Linked DNA regions of Arabidopsis thaliana. The protein of the gene in region 1 interacts with the protein of each later gene in a pairwise test. Each region holds a gene or a part of one and is shown in the gene's direction. Other genes may lie near its edges.

The links.
Region 2: the proteins of AT5G44500 (region 1) and AT5G62290 interact in a two-hybrid assay, tested with the Arabidopsis thaliana proteins (one large-scale study listed by BioGRID).

What each region holds. Positions count from the first base shown.
Region 1 is NC_003076.8:17,925,482-17,930,407, forward strand, and holds AT5G44500 (Small nuclear ribonucleoprotein family protein), read left to right. Parts: upstream 1-1,965; 5' UTR 1,966-2,023; coding exon 2,024-2,788; 3' UTR 2,789-2,792; exon of another isoform or gene 2,793-3,671; 3' UTR 3,672-4,191; coding exon of another isoform or gene 4,192-4,311; 3' UTR 4,312-4,354; downstream 4,355-4,926. Other genes in the region: AT5G44490 (FBD, F-box, Skp2-like and Leucine Rich Repeat domains containing protein), read left to right, coding at 1-90, 283-362; AT5G44495 (ECA1 gametogenesis related family protein), read right to left, coding at 870-1,229; TAO1 (target of AVRB operation1), read right to left, coding at 4,192-4,294, 4,461-4,483, 4,801-4,848.
Region 2 is NC_003076.8:25,017,254-25,021,736, forward strand, and holds AT5G62290 (nucleotide-sensitive chloride conductance regulator (ICln) family protein), read left to right. Parts: upstream 1-1,921; 5' UTR 1,922-2,314; coding exon 2,315-2,481; intron 2,482-2,558; coding exon 2,559-2,682; intron 2,683-2,914; coding exon 2,915-3,023; intron 3,024-3,132; coding exon 3,133-3,192; intron 3,193-3,284; coding exon 3,285-3,350; intron 3,351-3,456; coding exon 3,457-3,548; intron 3,549-3,647; coding exon 3,648-3,719; 3' UTR 3,720-3,878; downstream 3,879-4,483. Other genes in the region: AT5G62280 (DUF1442 family protein (DUF1442)), read left to right, coding at 79-732; AT5G62300 (Ribosomal protein S10p/S20e family protein), read right to left, coding at 4,135-4,277. UniProt on the Arabidopsis thaliana protein: May participate in cellular volume control by activation of a swelling-induced chloride conductance pathway.

The sequences.
Region 1 (4,926 bases):
CCATGCGTAAGAAAAGTTTGGTTGCCTTCGAGAATCTCCTTGCATTACCGAGGCGATCTAGCATGTGTCAAATCATATCTGTTGTTGACGGTTATAAAGACTTTTAGGCAGCTCTTTGATAAGACCAAAACTAGCATTTTTAGATATTTGGACTTGGATTTTGATTTTTGTTGGAACTACATTTTGATGTTATGAGTGAAATTTTTATTTAAAGTAAAAGGTGACTAATAATTTGGAAGATTCAAAGATTGTGATTCTGCCTCAAGTGGTTTGGTTCTCCAGCCGGGTCTTGCGGTGGGGAAAATGAGAGGTGTAGTTTGGCAGCGGATGACGCCTATCTGTTAGAACCATCTGGGAGGTAATCTATGAGTAGGGCTGTCATTTGGTCATGACCATGTCCATATGGCCGTCCGAGCGGACACTCTCTTTCTGTTGGCTTTGATGTTGCTATTGCAGCCATCTAGGTGTAACAAGCCAATGCATTCTTTTGTGAGCGCATTGGCCGATTAGATTAGCATCGATCAACATAGGTTTTTTCATAATATTTAGTATTGAATTTTTTATATGAGAGGTCACTGGTTAGTGCATAGCTCCTTCGTAAATCATTTATAGGAATCAAAAACAACCAAGATATGAGATGTGAAAAACATACTAATCCAAATGTGCAATTTAGTTAAAAATGTTATAGACAACTGTTAAGTAAAAATGAGGAAAAAGTGACCAGTTATTAATGATGTTATTATATCGTTGAAAAATTTTGATACAAATCGGAAACCTAATCGTATTTTCCAACTTAAACAAAGTAAAAGAAAAAAAAAAGAAAAAAAAGAAAGCAAAGGTTAACATTATTGGTTTCTAAGTTCTAATTTTTAGTAGGAGGCTCCGCCAACAGTTTTTGAACATTGTTCCTTTAGCATAGGAGGAAAAAACGGATTGAACGGAAGTTGCGGAATACAATTGGTTTCGGCTTCCAAAATTGCTTTGCAACAAGCTGAACCTATCTTGCCGAACTTTTCTAAGAGTATGGATTGCGAAAACTCTACGATGCACCCTGGAATATTTATCACAGATGATAAACATTTTGTTATATCAGGTAATCCTGGTACACCGGGACTCGGTAGAAATGGAAATGGAAAAGGAAAAAGTGCCGGAAATTGTGGTAATTGGGCATTTACAGACAATGCAATGCATAAAACCGCTAGAAATAAGATCACGTTTTTTATAGCCATAATAAAAAAAAAAAATGTTTGAAATATTCCAATATATAATTCTTTCTCGTGTTTGTTGTTGAGTGATAAACAATACTAAGATCAAATTTATTTATAGGGGAAGAAATGAACTATGGTGGTACTAATTGAATTTGTCTTTATGAAACGTTTTTCAAATCTTTATTAGGTAATTTAATAACAGGCAGTTTCTTATTTTGATTGAGTGAGCAGTTTCTAAAATTAAAAGATAGTCCACAGCCACACACCTCTATGAGAAATATTTATTACTTTACTATCGATGAGAGGAGATGATATATGTATAACCGAAATAATTCAGAGTTTAATCCAATAAATCCAGTTAATATTAATCCTTCGGTGTTGGTAGATCTTTTGTTCGTTTCTCCCTTTTTTTTTATTCTACAGCAAAAATGGTCTCTTGAATCTAAAGACAATACTCTATGTACAATATCTCGGAGATTCAACGATTTAATAAAAGTTTAAAGAGAATAATAATAATTTTTTCGCTCTTAGACAAAAAGAAATCATTAAAGTTTTTTCAATGAATAATAATAAATTTACAAAACTATACTATATAAATTAATTTGACAAATGGTGAAAAAAAAAAAAAGGCAATACACCTATGTTATGTATAGCCTAACCCATTCTAACTAGGCCCAAATTGAAACAAAGCCCAACAAGAAGGAAAGTGTCATTCATTCTTTCTCGAATAAAACCGTAGAAATTCCCCCTCTTCCCCAATTCCACTGCCAAAACTCTTCGCTTAATTCTCCGGCGTATACAAGTCGCCGGCAAAAATGTCGATGTCGAAGAGCTCCAAGATGCTTCAGTTCATAAACTACAGGATGCGAGTAACAATCCAAGACGGAAGACAGCTAATCGGAAAATTCATGGCGTTCGATCGCCACATGAATCTTGTTCTTGGCGACTGCGAAGAGTTTCGAAAACTTCCTCCGGCGAAAGGTAATAAGAAGACGAACGAAGAAAGAGAAGAGCGTCGTACGCTTGGTTTGGTTTTACTTAGAGGAGAAGAAGTGATTTCGATGACTGTCGAAGGTCCACCGCCACCTGAAGAATCTCGCGCCAAATCTGGATCTGTAACCGCTGTGGCTGGTCCCGGAATCGGTCGTGCTGCTGGACGTGGAGTACCTACTGGTCCATTGGTTCAAGCTCAGCCTGGTTTATCTGGTCCTGTTCGTGGAATTGGTGGACCTGCTCCTGGAATGATGCAGCCTCAGATCTCTAGACCACCACAGATTATTCGTCCTCCGGGACAAATGCCACCACAGCCTCCTTTTGCTGGTCAAGGAGGTCCTCCTCCACCTTATGGTATGAGACCACCGTATCCTGGTCCACCACCGCCTCAGTATGGTGGACAGCAAAGGCCAATGATGATTCCTCCACCTGGTGGTATGATGAGAGGACCTCCTCCACCTCATGGTATGCAAGGACCGCCTCCTTCTCGCCCTGGAATGCCTCCCCCCGGTGGTGCTCCGATGTTTGCTCCGCCTCATCCTGGCATGCCACCTGCTCCGCCAAATCACCATAATCAGCAACATTGATTAGGTAGCTGTTTATCAAGTTTTGGAACACTACTTGATTATCCTTTATTATCTGCTGATGGTTGCTTGTAAGTGTAGCTTGGCTATGATGTGAGATTTGGTTGAAATTGAACTTATTTTGATTTAGCTTGGACTTGTGTAGTGACTGAAGTTTATAAATCATAAGTTAGCTGCAGTCTCTACTAGTCTGCTGATAGTTTATTTGTGAAACCTTTAACTTACACAAAAACTTTCTTGTAACTTGAACTGATAACTTACACAGAAATTCTACTTAATTAGCCTTTATAATTTATCAGCAATTTCTAGTCTGCTTGGCCATGTGTGATTTGTGTGGAATTGAACTTGTCTTGATTAGCTTGGGCATGTGTTGTGAGTAGTAGTCTGCTCATGACTGTCTTAGCTTGCACAGTTTCTAGGTTGTTGATGAGTGCTTTGTTGTCAGTTGCTTTTCTTCTTATGTTTCCTTAAGAGTATGATCACTTTAAAAGGTTTGTTACTATAAAGCATTCTAGAATCATCACATTGTGAATCCTGTAACTTACACTCAGAAACTCTCTTGCCTGTTGTTCTAATGAGTTTGAAAAACCCTTATTACACTTTTAGAAGCATGAATAACTCATGATGAACTTCTCAGTTCACTTTTAAACGTGTTTAATATCTTCCCAACTAGTAGAACCTTTATGATCCTTGTTTAAGGTTTGTTCGTGAATTTTGTTTTGGAAAGCTGTAGATGTTGTAGGGTTCATTAGCTATATTGGAAGAACTTGTGGATACATCTTTTTGCCCTTGCTCTCTGTTGGCATATGATATTGGATGATTTTTTTTTTTTAATATCTCTGTTAGAAAGATCTGCTAAGTACAATTTTCTCGATCTGGATTGTAGGAGTCACTTCATCTACAACGAAAGCAACATCCACATGATTGAGTTACCCCTCGGCTAGTCGTAGCGTTTTTCTCCGTGAAGCTCAGAGAATTGATGAGTTCATATTGGTGATTTCTCGTGGAAAAAGCAACTGATTTTAGAAATAGTGAACTTGTAGGAGTTACAACCTTGCTCCATGAACTTGAATGTATTACTTGTAAAAGAGGCTCTCAATGGTTTTGACTGGCAATTCGGTTCTCAACATATATTAGGCTATGTTGCTGGTTATGTACGTAACAAATATCTTACGGTAGTCTTACACTGGATCAGACACCCACCCTCCTAAACATGCAACTAAACATGCAAATCCCGATCGCTTGATCTAAAACTTCCGTAGAAGCTAACCGTTTTTTTTTAATAATGAGTCCTTGTTCAACAACCCCACCGATCGTATCCAGGCCTTTGACCACATTATCTACGTAATTTTAAATAATCAAACATCGAGCGATGTGCGAGTTTACTATGCTGAAGGGAAAAGCTTTTACTGATTGATGCTTGGCATTGGAGTTTTGAGTATAGCATCAAGAATGTTCTGACCATTGCTAATGACTATAGGAAAATCCCTCCAAAAGGGCTTGCAACTCCTACAAACGAAACGAGTCTTCACACAATCAATAGAACCAAAACCCCGATAAATAATTTGTGAAAGAACCAGTTTCTCTTCCCTGCATTGCTTGAGTACAAATCATCTGTCTTCCCAGTCACGATAAACTAAATAAGAGTGCAAGTGAAAATGAAGAAGTCACTTACGGGGATTTTGACTCGTACTGGTCCTGCAATTTAGATTTACAAGATCCTTTATTTCGATATGGTTCTGCAGACAATATCATTGTTAATAGAGGTTTAATTGTAAGATATGCTAATAGAGAGACCAAGGATTAAAGAAGATAAAGAAGACCAGAGGTTGGCAACAAGATCAAAATGCACTCGAGGAATGAAGTAATATGCGTATACAAACATATACAAATACTTTTCATACAATGTTAGCTTCGCTGTAATATCTACATATAAACACATAGATGTATACTGTGACTTAATTGATAAATTATACATATTACCAACATCACATATATAGTAATGATAATCATACTAAGTGACACCACACAACATGCACACCAAACTTGTCAAATCGACCCAACTTTAAAAGAAAATGTTTCATCATATAGCATTAATGTATTTCAGCTCTTGTCATGCCCTAACTTCAGTCTAGTGTTTG
Region 2 (4,483 bases), 7.1 Mb from region 1:
CCCGTGATATTGTTTCAAATTACGATAAAAGATTAGTTAATGTCACATTTTGACATATTTCTCTATATGCATTTTCAGGATCAAAGGACAAAAGAACCAAACGTCGCCGAATTCATATCAGCCCTAGCCGCCGGAAATAGCGCTAGAAAGATAGCCGTGGCTTGCGCCGGAGCAGCAAACGCCGACATACTCGTTGCACTAATCGCAGCGGCTAACCAAACGCGTGGTCAAGTTGTATGCGTTTTACGTGGTATCGAAGAACTAATCATATCCCAAAAAATGTTGGAACCATCAGAGATTCATCAGATACAATTCGTAGTCGGAGAATCTAACGACGACACTCTAATCAATAATCATTTCGGAGAAGCAGATTTCGTCCTCGTGGATTGTAACCTCGAAAACCACCAAGAGATCGTTGGAAAAATCCTTAATCATCACGAAGAAAACGCAAGAACCGGGGGTGGAAGCGGTGTGGCGGTTGTGGTGGGTTATAACGCGTTTTCGAGAGGGTCATGGAGGTTTAGCGATGGAAGGAAAACGCAGTTTTTACCTATAGGAGAAGGGTTACTTGTGACGAGGGTCAATGATAATCAGAAGATGATGATGAAAAATCACCATCGTGACCAAGTGATGAGGAAGAGTCGTTGGGTGGTGAAGGTTGATAAGTGCACTGGAGAGGAACATGTGTTTAGGGTTAGGGTTCCCCGAGGAGAAGCCATTATTGAAGCTTAAATTCAAATCTTATAGATTATTGGGTACGTTAGAGCAAAGATGATCACCTCTGTGATGGTTCAGACGAGTGAAAGTAGTAATTAAGAAGATGATTAGTTATTTTGTATAAGTAATTATATTAAGAGAGTTTTGATTGGCTTTGGAGTATTTTGTGTGGTGAGAAGAGTGAAAAAGTCTATGTTTTTCGAGTAAATGACTTTTTTTGTAAGTGTAAATATGAAATGATGTGTTTTGGTTTAAACTTCTCTCTGATTTTGGATTTTTTTTTTTTTTTTTTTTGTCTTTTCTTGAGCATATGTACACGCATTGTTATTCTTCAGATTTTGGATGTTTAGCAAATAAGATATTCAAAAAATGCACATGCATGCATGAGAGATGGCATCTGAAACTAATATAATGAAACATTAAAGTAAGCATATGTATTTAGCTGTCTTATACAGATTCTCAAAATAGATGTAGACGTATATTATTGAGAATTGACAAAAAAAAACGTATATTATTGAGTTGTTGAGTCTAATTTTTTTTGTTGACACTATTTAAAACCGACAAGCACGTCAAACAGATATTAGTAATAGTATATAGGGTCTTCAGACATGTATTCGTTTGCCTTAAAATTGTATTTTAAAAAGATCTTCTTCTTTTTTTCATCACCGTTACCTTTATTATAAAACCAAGAAGATTAATATATAGTGAAATCCGTAAAGACGAAAAATTAACGTAGTTCTTATATTGAAGATGAACTACCAAAATCTAATTAATTCTTATGTGATTTTGTTAATCATTGTCTTGGAATTCACTATATAATGAAGTTCATCATCTCTAAGGAATGGTTTTACTTTGGTCCGATTCTTTCGACTTTTGGTCGTTCCATTTCTCATTGAATCAAATCTATGCCCAAAGGTAAAACATAATCTTCTACAGTACTTTTAGATATATGATCCAAATTCTCATCGACCTAAACTTATAAGTCATTGAATTCAACTAGGCTTGTGCACATAGCTGGGAGGCACCAAATAAACTCCTTCTTCGAAGTAGACAACTCGTAATGAATGTATATTATTTTTATCAACCGACATCTCCGTTAAGAAAATAGATAACAATTTGAAGAGAAGAGTCGTTGTTGACAATGATCCGTTCATTAATATAAAGCATTGTCACAATCTCTATATGTCCCATAACCTTCCCCTATCCCCATGAATGACCACCCCCATCTCTTCCTTATCCATCATCTCCCACACCTCATCACTCTCAAAGACAACGACATTTTTCACCCATAAATATATTTACATAACAAAATTTATTCGAAACAACATTAATCAACAACCAAACATTACATTCACACAAAGTAACAAAAAAGGTTCAAGGGAAATGGACCACCAGAGAGACTTATCTGATCTCAATAGTTTAGTGGGCTTATGTTTTAATGTAGTATGGGCTTTTTTAACGAAGCCCATTTTGTCAAAAGCCTTGTAGTGTTCTTCATCAGTAAACGTAACAAATCATTCCTCTGAGAAACCCTAAGAAAAACCCTGCCTGAAAATCTCTGTTTTTTTTGACGATTCTTTCTTTGTGATCGGAAAAAATGGTGGCTGGTCTAAGAGATTTCACGCTCAGAACCGAAGATGGCTCCGGGAAACCGGTACTGGATGAATCTAACGGCGAGGAACTTATGCACGTTCAGACTTCCGTCGCCGTCGCTCTCGGAAACCGTCCCATTGAGTCTCCCGGAACTCTCTACATCACTTCCAGGTACAAAAATTAACTCAAAATCTAGTCCTTCTCGATTGAGATAAATGTCTTAGCTTAATTTTGTGATTTGATTTCAGGAAATTAATTTGGCTGAGCGATGTAGACATGGCTAAAGGATACGCAGTTGATTTCTTATCAATATCGCTTCACGCTGTTTCTAGAGATCCTGAGGCTTATTCATCTCCTTGTATATATACTCAGGTATTCAACTCTTGCAATTTTTCTGGGTTTTGTTAGACTTGGTAGCTTAAAAGGGAATTAGTGTTGTTCTCGTTGATTGTGATTAGTTCTTAGGCCTGTACTGTAATGTTGCTTGTTGCAAGTGCTTGCTGGAATTTGAGAAAGTGGCTTACACGTTTTAATTGGATTTGAGAGGTGTGATTAAGTCTTTTCTGTTCTCATTTTGCTAAGTTTTTGGTTTAATGTTTTGAAGATTGAAGTTGAAGAAGATGAGGATGATGAGTCTGATTCAGAATCCACTGAAGTTTTGGACTTATCAAAGATCAGAGAGATGAGGCTTGTTCCTTCTGACTCTACCCAGTGTGAGTTGTTATGTAGCAATCTTTAGAGCTATTAGAATCGGCTGTTTCATTATATAAGAGTCTTGGATATTATTAAGCTGATATATCGTTTTGTCTTGTCATATGAAAGTGGAGACGCTGTTTGATGTATTCTGCGAGTGTGCTGAGCTGAATCCTGAACCAGTTCAAGGTAAAACATATAATTACTGGTTTAATAGTATCACTAATTGCATTTTTTGGTTACCTAGCCATTTATATCTTTGGTTTCATTGCATCTTTCAGAAGAAGAAGAAGAAAGCGGACATAATTGGGTGTTTAGTGCTGATCAGATGGATGTTCGTGGAGGAGGTAATTAATGTTTTCATATGACTTAGACCGAATTAAAGAGTGTGTTAATGTATTCATCTTGAATGGTACGAATGAAATGTGATGGTTTTCTATGTGTTTGCAACAGATGATGATGCAGAGTGGCAAATATCTCAGAGTCCGACTAGTGTAATTGGTCATTCCAATGGAGATGAAGGTCTTAATCAGCCTATGCTTGAGGTAATACAAAGTTACAAAACTCTGCTTTCAATTTTTCCTCTTTTTTTGTTTTTAAAAAATTGAGCGTGGTTTCATCTGCCTTTTGTATTCACACTGCAGCTCCAAATCAATGATCAGAGGTTTGAGGATGCTGAAGAGATGGTTCATGAAAGTGAGACCAAAGATCACTAGACTCTTCACAATTGTACTCGAAAACATAGTAGTTGTGTTATTTTAACGATGAAAGAGTTGTATTATGTTCAACGATAAAGTATTATGTTCGTGATACTTAGCTTTTCAATTTATGGCTGATTAAACTTTAATCTTTCTCGTAATAGATCTCTCAATTTGAAATGAGATAGCAAGTTGGTAACTTCATACAGAGTTATGTCATCGAGAGGGTCAAAAGATCTCAAGTTAAGAATAAAGGACGAACTTCTAATTAAAAAATTCAAAATCTATTAAATTAAGAAAACATAAGAACTTGGGTTTCACTACAACAAAACATTTGTTTTTTTTTTAACTCAAAAGGAATGTCGTTACGGGAAAAGAAGATTGTTTCTTAAGAGAATTTGAAAAGAGATACCAAAGCCACAGAAGGGTTGATCTACGAGTCAGCGATGGTGACCTCAACTTCAACACCAGGTTCAATGGTGATGGAGGTGATCTGCTTGACCACATCAGGAGAGCTGAAAAGATCTATAACTCGCTTGTGTACCCTAAGCTCGAATCTGTCCCATGTGTTGGTTCCTGTTTACAATACCAATAGTTAAGAGAGTTTCAGCAAATGTGAAGACACTTGCAGTGACAGAGTATAAAACAGTATTGAGCACAATCACAAATTCTAAGACCTAAATCCTAGGTTTAATAGAGCAAATGAACTAAGGGAGTGGTTCCAACAACAAGCTCTAGTGATTCTGAAGGCAATATAAAAGATGAGATGAGCATAATCATCA